Linked DNA regions of Nothobranchius furzeri. The protein of the gene in region 1 interacts with the protein of each later gene in a pairwise test. Links are inferred from orthologs where the notes say so. Each region holds a gene or a part of one and is shown in the gene's direction. Other genes may lie near its edges.

What was found.
Region 2: the proteins of pdlim7 (region 1) and zmynd11 interact in a two-hybrid assay, tested with the Homo sapiens proteins (2 studies listed by BioGRID). The link is inferred for Nothobranchius furzeri from reciprocal best matches to the Homo sapiens genes PDLIM7 and ZMYND11.
Region 3: the proteins of pdlim7 (region 1) and enkd1 interact in binary tests that used the Homo sapiens proteins (3 or more experiments, as listed by UniProt). The two-hybrid records come from large-scale screens. The link is inferred for Nothobranchius furzeri from reciprocal best matches to the Homo sapiens genes PDLIM7 and ENKD1.

Annotation. Positions count from the first base shown.
Region 1 is NC_091741.1:103,112,410-103,116,060, reverse strand, and holds part of pdlim7 (PDZ and LIM domain protein 7), read left to right. Parts: intron 1-1,355; coding exon 1,356-1,536; intron 1,537-1,644; coding exon 1,645-1,765; intron 1,766-3,651. UniProt on the Homo sapiens protein: May function as a scaffold on which the coordinated assembly of proteins can occur. May play a role as an adapter that, via its PDZ domain, localizes LIM-binding proteins to actin filaments of both skeletal muscle and nonmuscle tissues.
Region 2 is NC_091751.1:36,836,414-36,839,940, reverse strand, and holds the end of zmynd11 (zinc finger MYND domain-containing protein 11), read left to right. Parts: intron 1-1,331; coding exon 1,332-1,412; intron 1,413-1,519; coding exon 1,520-1,798; intron 1,799-1,879; coding exon 1,880-2,065; intron 2,066-2,496; coding exon 2,497-2,619; 3' UTR 2,620-3,012; downstream 3,013-3,527. UniProt on the Homo sapiens protein: Chromatin reader that specifically recognizes and binds histone H3.3 trimethylated at 'Lys-36' (H3.3K36me3) and regulates RNA polymerase II elongation. Does not bind other histone H3 subtypes (H3.1 or H3.2).
Region 3 is NC_091757.1:55,620,044-55,623,794, reverse strand, and holds the end of enkd1 (enkurin domain-containing protein 1), read left to right. Parts: coding exon 1-56; intron 57-330; coding exon 331-503; intron 504-577; coding exon 578-721; intron 722-2,174; coding exon 2,175-2,317; intron 2,318-2,418; coding exon 2,419-2,555; intron 2,556-2,660; coding exon 2,661-2,821; 3' UTR 2,822-3,258; downstream 3,259-3,751. Other genes in the region: polb (DNA polymerase beta), read left to right, coding at 3,463-3,523. UniProt on the Homo sapiens protein: Microtubule-binding protein which regulates microtubule organization and stability. Promotes the stability of astral microtubules and facilitates the proper orientation of the mitotic spindle.

The DNA of each region.
Region 1 (3,651 bases):
CTGTTAACTTTATTTTCTCTCTAACCCCGGGTTTCCACGGGAGCCGTCAGCAGCACGTTACTGCAGCAGCACGTCTAGCTGCTGCTTGGCCCTTCCCACGAGACGCGACGCAGCAGAGGAGCAGCTGTCACCGACAGGGCACGAAGTCACACGAGTGACTTCGTCAGTAAACACAACAACAAGCAGGAGAAAACTACAACATGGTTCCAAAATGTTTGTGTTTTTATATTCTGTCCATTTTATAATCGCCAATACGGACCTGAAAAACAAAGGAGACCGCTAGTTGGTGATAACTTCTCACGGGGCCGCACAGTTAGTAACCTTTTTTAAAGTAAAGCGACCGGAAGGCAGTACGTTCTTTATTCTGAAAATCTCGGGAGCTTCTCTCCATTTCCGCGTCCGATTTCCTGTCTTTCCTTCCCCAAAAATGTCAAACTTGACCCGTTTCAGAGGCGTCGCGCGTAGGAAATAGAACCGGCGCGTAAAGGCCGCGACATGCTGCTCCTGAGACGCGGCCGACTCGCGCTGCTGACGGCTCCTGTGGAAAAGGTTCTGTTGACCACAGCCGTTCCTATCAGCAGCTATGACGTGCTGCTGCAGTAACGTGCTGCTGACGGCTGCTGTGGAAAGCCGGGGTAAGTGTTTTTCTCCCCACAAGAAGCTACAATGATGTTCTGCTGAGCTGTGGTGGCCTCATGGAGGGGGCTATCATCTAGCACACTGCTGCTAACCACTTAAACATTCTCCCTCTCCTGATAATAACTTTTTGCTTTCCTTGATGCTGGATGTGCTACTACTAGTTTATCCGTTTAATTATAGATCCACTAGGATACATACAATAAAGTTTATCTCTCACCAAATGGAATATTTACTAAGAAATCACAATATAACTATAGACAAATTACTTCGTCTTTGTGTGTGTGTGTGTGTGTGTGTGTGTGTGTGTGTGTGTGTGTGTGCCTGTTCTGTCTTCTCCATCCCCAGTGAGTCGTGGAGGATGGCTGCTTATACTGAGCCAGGATTCTCTGGAGGTTTTTTCCTGTTAAAAGGGAGTTTTCCTCTCCACTGTCGCTTTATGCTTGCTTAGTATGAGGATTGCTGCAATTTGAATGGCTTAATGAACTGACCTGAATTGGAATGTTTGTTATGTGAAGTGCCTTGAGACAACTCTTGTTGTGATTTGGCGCTATATAAATAAAATTGAATTGAATTGAATTGAATTATGAAGTTTTCAGACCCTGTTTTTATGAATAAGGCCCCTGTCACTTTTGTGAATGAGAATTGACATCTCAATGAGTCCCTCACCTGGTTAAATAAATAATTAAATAAAAATTGTGTGTTTTCATCTTCTCCAGGGGTCGGTACCTGGTGGCCCTGGGTCAGTCCTGGCACCCAGAGGAGTTTACATGCTCTCATTGTAAGGCAGTTCTTGAGGAAGGGGGCTTCTTCGAGGAGAGAGGATCTGTCTACTGCACAAAGTGCCATGATAACCGATATGCTTCGACCTGTGCCAAGTGCAAGAAGAAGATTTCTGGAGTAAGAGCTGCTATTTTTTTCTTTTCTGTTCTTTCAGAAAACTTCAAACCAGAAAGTTAGCTTGACCAGAAAAGGAAAAAGATAAACATGTGAAACTTCTGTTTTCAGGAGATCATGCACGCTCTGAAGATGACCTACCATGTTCAATGTTTTAAATGTGCTGCCTGCAAAGTTCCCATCCGGAATCAGGCTTTTTACATGGAGGAGGGTGAGCCATACTGTGAGAGAGGTGAGACACATTCACATACGCATGTAATGCAGTTAATCATGTAATCCAAGTTTTCATTTTATGTTTTTTAAGATTTCTAGTAAACGTGTTAAACAGCAACACATCTATTTAATTTCTAAAATATGATGAGTTCAACTTCCGCATGTCTGAGAGGAGTCAGTGCTCCGCTTTGTGAAGATGTGCGCGCCCACACGCACAAAGAAGTGAATCCATTAAAATTGAGTCATTCAAATCGAAAAGAAAAGGAGAAAGAGAATAAGTTAGACTGAATTAACGTCCAACGAATAAAAGTGAGTTTTTAAACGAGACTTAAAAAGGGAAAGAGAGGACGAGAGTCTGATCAGGAGGGGCAAGTGGTTCCAGAGCTTCGGTGCACAAACTGAAAAGGCGTGCTCCCAGCGGGATTTACAGCAGGAGCTAGGGACATGTAGGAAGCGCTGGTCAGCTGATCGGAGGGATCTTGTAAGGGCATATGGGTGAATGAGCTCAGACAAGTAGCCAGGTGCTAAGGTATTGAGGGATTTAAACACAAAAACCAGGATCTTAAACTCTATCCGGAGATGGATGGGTAGCCAATGGAGATTTGCTAAAACCGGTGTGATGTGTTCTCGCTGCCTGGTGCCAGTCAAGAATCGAGCTGCTGCGTTCTGCACAAGCTGAAGGCGAGCGAGAGTGGAGGAGGAGATACCATATAGCACTGAGTTAGAGTAGTCGAGACGGGAGGTAATGAAAGCATGGACTACTGAATGGAGATGACGCCTTTTTAAAATGGACTTAACTTTAGAGAGACGCCTCAGGTGGTAAAAACAGGTCTTAACTTCCTGGTTGACATGAATGTCCATTTTTAGTTTTGCATCCATCACAACCCCTAAGTTTGTGACATGGGTTTTCAACCCACTTGTGATAAAAGGAAGGGTCAGTTGGGGACTTTGAGAAGTCCTAGGGCTGAAAATGATGGCCTCTGTCTTGGCATCGTTCAGCAAAAGAAAGTTTTCTGACAGCCAGCTCTTCACATCATTGCAGCATTCAACGAGGAGCTGTAAGGAGTCATTAGGCTGAACTATAAAGAGAAACAGGATCACTTTACAGCATTCAAAAATTACGGCATTAGTAATAAGCAGTTAATAAATGCTTAATAATGACAAGTTCAGACTTAGTAGTCCACTAATACGCATATTAATTGGCAGCTAATTAATGGTTAATTTGTGTTCCCTAAGCTAAAGTGTTACCTTTTTTTTATTTGCTGATAACCAGTATAGATGAGTGTCGTAATGGTGCTGTAGACATGTGTAATCATTAGTGTCACAGTTAAGTTCAACTTACTTCAAATTTAATATTTCAGCCCACAACCGTAATTATATCTCCATCTTCAGGTTAAAAACTCTGCTCCACATTTATCTAGAAAAACTACAATTTTTTACATTCAGGAATTGCTCTTGACTCCTGTATAATCTTTGACTCTTCCCATTTGATCACGTGTTGCACGGGAGCTGGTGTCTTGCTCCCATAGTGCACTCTGGTTTTGGTTAAATACGAGCCACAGATCTAAGTTGTGCGTTTATTTATGAAATCTTTGTAGAATCTAGTCGCACTAATTAGCGCCAATGGAGACGAGCTCTGGTGTAACAATGAGAGGTTCAGTCATGACACTCTATAGACCGCCTGATGCTGACGAGGGGATTTCTCCTGTCAGTGTGATAGGAAGAGGTGAGCTGCTGCTAACCCTAACCCAACAAGCTTTAGTTCATAGAAACACGTTCTATGCCCAGACTGTAGTGACTTGTTATTTATAATGTTATAATTGATATTAAGTGAATGCACAAAACCCAAAGATAATAGAAAATACGATAAAATAAGCCTGAGTATTTTCTCCCACAGCTCAGCTC
Region 2 (3,527 bases), on another chromosome or scaffold:
AGGTGTGGAGACTAGGGTTGTCACGGTGTGAAAATTTAACCTCACGGTTATTGTGACCAAAATTACCACGGTTTTCGGTATTATCGCGGTATTTTTTTAAACGTTTTACATTTTCAGACAACTAAATAAACCCTGTATATCAGGAAAATATTGTCCTCAGTTTGTGTCTAAATTTAGCCTAAAATTTGTTATTTTGTAATTATGTTGTTTATTTGTTTACATTTTTTCCCTTTAGTCTTTAAAATAGCAATGTTTGCCCATAACTTCTTATTTTTTGTCTGTTTGATGTCATCATTTAAAAATATTAGATCAGATGATACTCAGTACTCAAGTAGCCTTCTAATTAGATACTTTTTTTTACCCTTACTTGAGTAATAAACCTTATATCAGGAAAATATTGTCCTCGGTTTGTGTCCTTCCTGTGAGCTTTGCAGATTTGGGAAAATGTCATCAGGCAGTAATCATTGTTAAATTCATAATTATTCTCGGAGAGAGACCAACTCTTATCTGCCCCTGGGAGCCCCGTAATGCATAGCGTCATTTCAATTTGGCGGTGTCCGCGACACGGTTTATATGCAGGTAGCGGCGCTGCGGCTGCTTTATATAGCGACTCGTTGCGTTCTCCCTCAACCCAAATCCTCGGATCACACATTTTAGCTAAAACGCTAACGTTAACTTGCCTTGCGTTGACTGTAGAGTTGTGGGTGATGGTCACGCAGATGTGTCATGAGATTTGAAGCGTTGCTGCCTTTCACAGACACTTTTTCTGCACGTGCTGCAAACAGGATAGCCGTCGTCTATAAACTGTCCTTCGGCACTCTTCAAATATCCAAAAAATGCCTGCACTTCCCACTTTGTCTTCTTTGAGGGATGATAAATGTCCTGAGCCCTGCCATCTCCTCCTTTGGCCATTATTTCAGCTTTAGCTTCAAGAAAGTTTTGGTTGTAAACAACAAAGTGTGCATGTGCCACCGGCAACTTCTGCAGATGATACGGTGGCTGGTAAGGGTCACCGCGCCTACACCGCAGCCACGGTAATCCACCAAGATAATACATATTTTTTAAAAAACAAGAAGGTTATTACTGTCAACTTTTTTACTGGGGTTTACCGCTGCACCGGTTACCGTGACAACCCTAGCGGAGAACAGTCTCAAGTTCAGAGCAGGACAGAATGGGACTCAGCTTAGCAATGTTCCTGAGATGGAAGAAGGAAGAGTGAACAAGAAAACTGACATGAGAATCCATAAATTATATGTTTTTATCTCAGATTAATTTATGTTAAAAAATTTTTAATCCCAGATTAATGTACTTTAATTATTATTTTCCTGCAGATGAAAATCAGCCTGGAGCCCAAAGCGAAGAAAAGCCGTCGGACTCAAATAGTTGAGCCTAAAGAGGAAGCCAGTGTACGTGTACGGTCTTTTCTTTTCCCATTATTAATTACCTGTTAAAGATTTCTGTGTTGAGAAAGCTTAGTGAAGGTGGAGATAATGCAACAGCGTTGGTTCTGCTCCATCAGGACCCGGAGCCTGAGATGGAGGCGGTCAGCTCCAGCCAGGAGATCCCTGTGTCATCAGCTCTTCAGCAGCCTGAGAAGCTGTCCGTGTCCACGCAGACCAAGAAGGCCAGCGGGGGGTCGCCGCGCATGCTGCACCGCAGCACTCAGACCAACAGCGACGGCGCCTGCCAGAACATGTGCCACGAGAAGTACACCAAGGTTTTTAACGATGTCAAGGAGATGATGAAGGCCGACAACAAGAGGGAGACGGAGCGGGTGGTCCGAGAAGCTCTGGAGAAGGTTGGTTTGGATGCCCCGGGAGGATATTCAGGATACCTCTGTGGACTTTGAGATGTCACTTCCTGTTTTCCGTCCCTTCAGCTGCGTGCTGAGATGGAGGAGGAGAAGCGGCAGGCGGTGAGCAAGGCGGTGTCTGGAGTGCAGGTGGAGATGGAGAGGAAGTGTAAACAGGTGAAGGAGAAGTGTAAAGAGGAGCTGGTGGAGGAGGTGAAGAAGCTGGTGGCTCAACACAAGCAGCTCATCTCCCAGACCAAGAAGAAGCAGTGGGTGAGTTCAGAGGTCACCCGTCTCTGTTCACGAGGAGAACTCGACTCGTTTTCCTTTATTTAGAGTTTTTAGATTTAACGTCGGCTGGAATTATGTTGGGATTTAAATTCATGATGATTTTATTATTTTCATGTTTCCTGTTTTAGTCTCACTGACTCTGACTAATTTAAGAATATATGACTTTTTAATGTCTTTTGTTGTATATTTATTCTTATTTTATTTCCAGACTGATTTAATGTCAGAACTTTAATCACTAATTTTCTTGAAGCCACTTTCCTCTGGCCTTCTGATCGGGGAACTCGGTCAGGACTTTGGGATTATTTGGAGATAAAACGATTAAATTTTAAAATCCGGTAGAGACGAGAGCGAAGCCCTGTGAGGTACTGGTTTGGGGGCTGGTTACTAACTGGAGCTGTGTGTCGTCCTCCCAGTGTTACAACTGTGAAGAGGAGGCCATGTACCACTGCTGCTGGAACACCTCCTACTGCTCCATCAAGTGTCAGCAGGAGCACTGGCACGCCGACCACAAACGAACCTGCCGCAGGAAGAGATGAACAAGCCCCGCCCATTTCTAACCGCTTCCAACTCCTGATTGGTTCTCAGCTTCCCCCTCTTGTCTATGTCCAACACACACACAGAATTCTCCTCCCCTCGCCTTCCCGAAGGGTTCTGCGTCACAGCGAGACAATTCCTGTTATTTAATGTAGCTTTTTTTTATGTTTGTTTTCTGGTTTGTTTTCTCGAGAGCGTGGCTCCGACCCGAGTTGTGGTGATGATCTACATTTTTAACTCGTATGTTTTCTTTACTGAAGTGCTGATTTTGTTATTTAAGTGTAGAAACACGACGTGAGTATTGCTCAAAAACATTTTATTACCTGAACTTTTTACTGTAAATGCAGCAAGCCTGTTTAAATACCAACACAATAAAATGACTGTCGCAGATTTTACGACTTTAAAGTCTTACACCTTTTTGCTCTCCGTAAACGGATTGGGGTGAATAGAACCGTGATGATTTCTGCCTGAGTCTGTTAGCTTGTCGTCACTGGGAACAGGGTCTTTTCACAAGTCTCAGTTAAAATTAGATGTTTCCTTAAAGTTAATTTTGGAGTTTATTTTATTTTTAGCTATTGAAATCCCTCCCCCAAAAATCCAGGTTTTATTCCAGATTTGACCTGAGAAGCTCGTTGATGTTGCGAAACACTCAGAATTCTTGGTTTGTGTTTAGAGTCTGAAGAAGTGAAGCTGCTGCTGTTTTGGTTTGTTTCTCATCGTCTAAATCCCTCTTCAGCATCGTGAACATTTCCATCATCAGTGAAACAAAACCAGAAGCTTTCTGGTGCGACTGGAGAGCCAATCAGAACAAAATCCAAAAGGATGTTCCTTTCCCCGTTTGTTTTATAATGGAGGCAATCAAATTGCCTGCTTGTTTTTGTTTTACAGTTCTGTGTAAACCGTTCTCGCT
Region 3 (3,751 bases), on another chromosome or scaffold:
TGTGGGAGAGCTACTGAAACTAGACGGTGTCTCTGTAACTCCAGTTCCCAAACAGAGTGAGAGTGACTGACTTACCAGAGTGGCTTGATTTCAATAGCTCTAATTGCTTTGGATAAATAGGTTAATTTTTCCTTATCCTTATTGAAAAATCCTGTACACAGAGTAGCAAAGCTTGTTTTTACCTTTTTTGCTAACAGTTTTGGCTCCTGCTGTCGCCTTCATCAGAGCCTCACCGATGTCTGTGGAGTTGCTTTTGACGCCGTTTATCTGCGTTAGCAAACCTTTAGCAGTAACTTTAATTCCAACCGCTTTTGTATTGTTTCCCTGTAGAACAAAAAGTACAAGACTTTCGTAAAGAAAATGTACGTCGGCTACGGGAGATCCAGAAACGCTGCAAAGAGCAGGAAGCTGAGAGGGCGCAGAGCGGCCCTGTTCCAGTTAAAGCTTTATGGACCTCCTCAAAATACCAGAACACCCCGTCTAAAGTGATGGCCCACCTAGAGGCAAGTTCAAAACTCTTTCGTGAGATAAAATTTTGCCTTGCAATTTTTCCACCTCATATGTTTCATTCGTTTAGGTTTCCAGTCCAGCTGTTAAGCCTCAGTGTCAAAACTTTCTAAAGGCCCATTCAAACTGTAGTTCTGCTTCACCTTCAAAATCTTCACCTGTAGTTGTGCAGCACCCAGCTTCCTGCAGCTCCACACAAGACCCAGACTTGAAGGTGGGAACAAACAAAACAAATATTTCTGTATTCAAAAAATTCCCAGGGGCAATTTGAATGTTTTACTTAAAGGTGCAATAGGTAGTGATTTTATAGGGAAATATTCACAAAACAGCCTAATGTCTCAATCACGTTGGAAGGAAGGTTACATTGAAACAATTTCCTGCTCAGCCGACTGGGTGGTTGCCAGTTTTCTTCCCTTGTTAAAAGGCTGCAAGGAGATGTAGTCTTTGTTTACAATCATCCTGCCTCCATGTTTCCTCGTTCCAGAGCCGTTCCCACTGGAACAGCAGTAGCTCAGGAGGTAGAGTGGGTTGTCCAGTAATCAGAAGTTGCAGGTTCGATCCAGGCTCTGACCAGAGAATGCTGTTGTTGTGTCTTTGGAAAAGATACTTAATCTTAATGGTCTCCCCAACAAACTCACTCATAAACTGCAACTGGTCCAGAATTCAGCAGCCCGTATTATCACCAGAAACCCTTCCTTTCACCACATCACCCCGGTTCTCCAGCAGCTTCACTGGCTCCCAGTTAAATTCAGGTCCATCTTCAAAATTCTCCTTCATACCTTCAAAGCAATCCACAACCTCTCTCCTCCATATATCTCAGACCTTATAAGTATTCACACCCCATCCCATCCTCTCAGATCTTCTTCTTCCATCCATCTTGCGGTTCCTTCTGCCCGTCTCACTACCATGGGGAGCAGAGCTTTCAGCCGCTCTGCTCCCCGTCTCTGGAACTCACTTCCCCCAGACATCAGGAACATCGACAGATTTACCCTTTTCAAAACAAAACTCAAAACACACATGTTTAAATCTGCCTACAACCTCTGATTTTATTGAACTGTTTCTCTCTGCTTTTTTTTTTCTTGTTTGGGTTTTATTGTTGTTTTATTGTATTTTACTACGTGTTTTCTGTCAAGTGACCTTGGGTGTTCTGAAAGGTGCTTTTAAATAAAATGTATTCATTCATTCATCTGCCTTGCCTGCTGGTGGTGCCAGTGTTTGGCAGGCCTCACCTCTGTCGGTGCGCCCCAGGGCAGCTGTGGCTACATCATAGCTCATCCCCATCAGCGTGTGAATGTGTGGGTAAATGGGTGAATGACTGATTGTGTTGTGTTGTGAAGTGCCTTGGGAGGTTGTAGATCTCTAAGAAGGCGCTATATCAAATACAGGCCATTTACCATTTGTATTTGAGCCTGCAAAGTTGCTTAGTCTTCAACGCAAACACTGCACCTGAGTTTGTAATTCAACACCAGCAGGCAAAGAACAACAGTGTTGTGAACAGATTGGAAGCCAGTAAACAGAAGCAGCCCAGAAGTTATTTCATGGACTGCAGTACCACAATTTGACCACAACATGTCATTCCTGTTTCATGAATTGTATTTGAAATTGAATGAGAAGCACATTTTCAACTTATATGTATCTGCAACTCTGTATGTTTTTTTTAAATAAAGTTACAGGTGCAAGGTCAGGCCATAGACTTCATAAAACATAACGCTCGGTCTGCTGGAAAAACTGTTGTCCGCCGATCCCAGTCTTTGACAAATCTCAGAGAAAACCCTGTGCCCAGTGCAATCAAAGGACAAGTACCACAGTAGTGAGTGATTTAACATCAGAGTGTACATTTAAATGAACCGACTGAGAAATAAATTTTATCTCTTTGATGTTTTTCTCCTGTCATTGATGTTCCCACACAAGTCTTGTGGAAAGGAAGGAGCAGTGGCGTAAGGAAAAGGAAGAGAAGAGGAGGAATACACCTGACCCTACAGTCCCAGCTGGTCACACCTTAATGCCGGAGAATGAGAGACAAGAGACACTAAAAACCCTAAAATCTAGTAAGTGTCCACCTTTGCAATGATACCAAAAGCATTTTGGTTGTGCCGTAAATACAATATGTACAACTATTTTCACATAACTAATTATGTCTTTTTTTTCCGTAGCCCATCGCTCCTTGGTGACTGAACTGCTCTCACTCCCGCTGAAAGCAGACAATCTGAGTGTTCGATCCCATCGGACTTATCTTGATTATAGGCTTTCTGAGATTGAAGAGGCCATTAAAATATTCTCTAGGGACAAAGTTTATGTAAAAAATGATTCTTAAAACATGAGGAGGACCAAGAATAGGTAGAATTTATCCTGTAAATTAACCATTTTGTTGAGATTTTTTTCACAATTTACTAAGTAACAGAATGAGGGATTTTATGGAAATGGTAATAATTAGTTAAGGAGGCATGTTTTATATGAAAGGTTTTATCTTTATTGTTACTGAATTTTAGTATCTTCCAAAACAATAACATATTTAAAGCACCTTATTTAAAAAAACGTTGCTTTATTGTGTAGGGGATAAGTAGCAGATATTCTGCAAATTTGAAATAAAAGGCTGTAATTACACTATTTACTGATAGACGCCAGCTATTTATATTTACTACTTTTTCTGTACATTGTATGTTTTTAATTACTGTGTAGATCGCAAACAATGTTCTATAATAAGTTTTTCACCAAAAATGTTGGTGAAAATGATCAATTTTTAATGAAAATACAAAAAGAACAATCCTGTTTGGGGGTCAGTAACGCATTGCGCATGCGCACACCTTTCTACGTATTAGGTCATTGTTCTGCGTGACCGTTGGCTAAAGTGCTAGCCGTAAGCTAACTGGAGATTTAAATTTCTTAAAACGTATTTTACCGGTTAGTAAAACTGTCTGGATTGCAGGGAGCATTCTAACGTATCTAAAATCCACAATGAGCAAGAGGAAAGCACCGCAAGAGTCCCTAAATGAGGGAATTACTGACTTTCTTGTCGGTACGTATGAGCTCAGCTAGCAGTAGTTAGCCTGACGGTCACTTTGTTTTAAAATGTAAATACTAAAACTTTCTAAATGAAACAAGTTTATGAAGCATGCATTCAGCAGTGCTGCTTCTTTCAAGCTGTTTTCTACTCAAATGTGTTTCTCTAAATTACTGTTTAGCTGACGAACGAAGGTAAATGTTTCTATATTTAAATGCCTAGCCTTTCTACAGGATTCAGTCT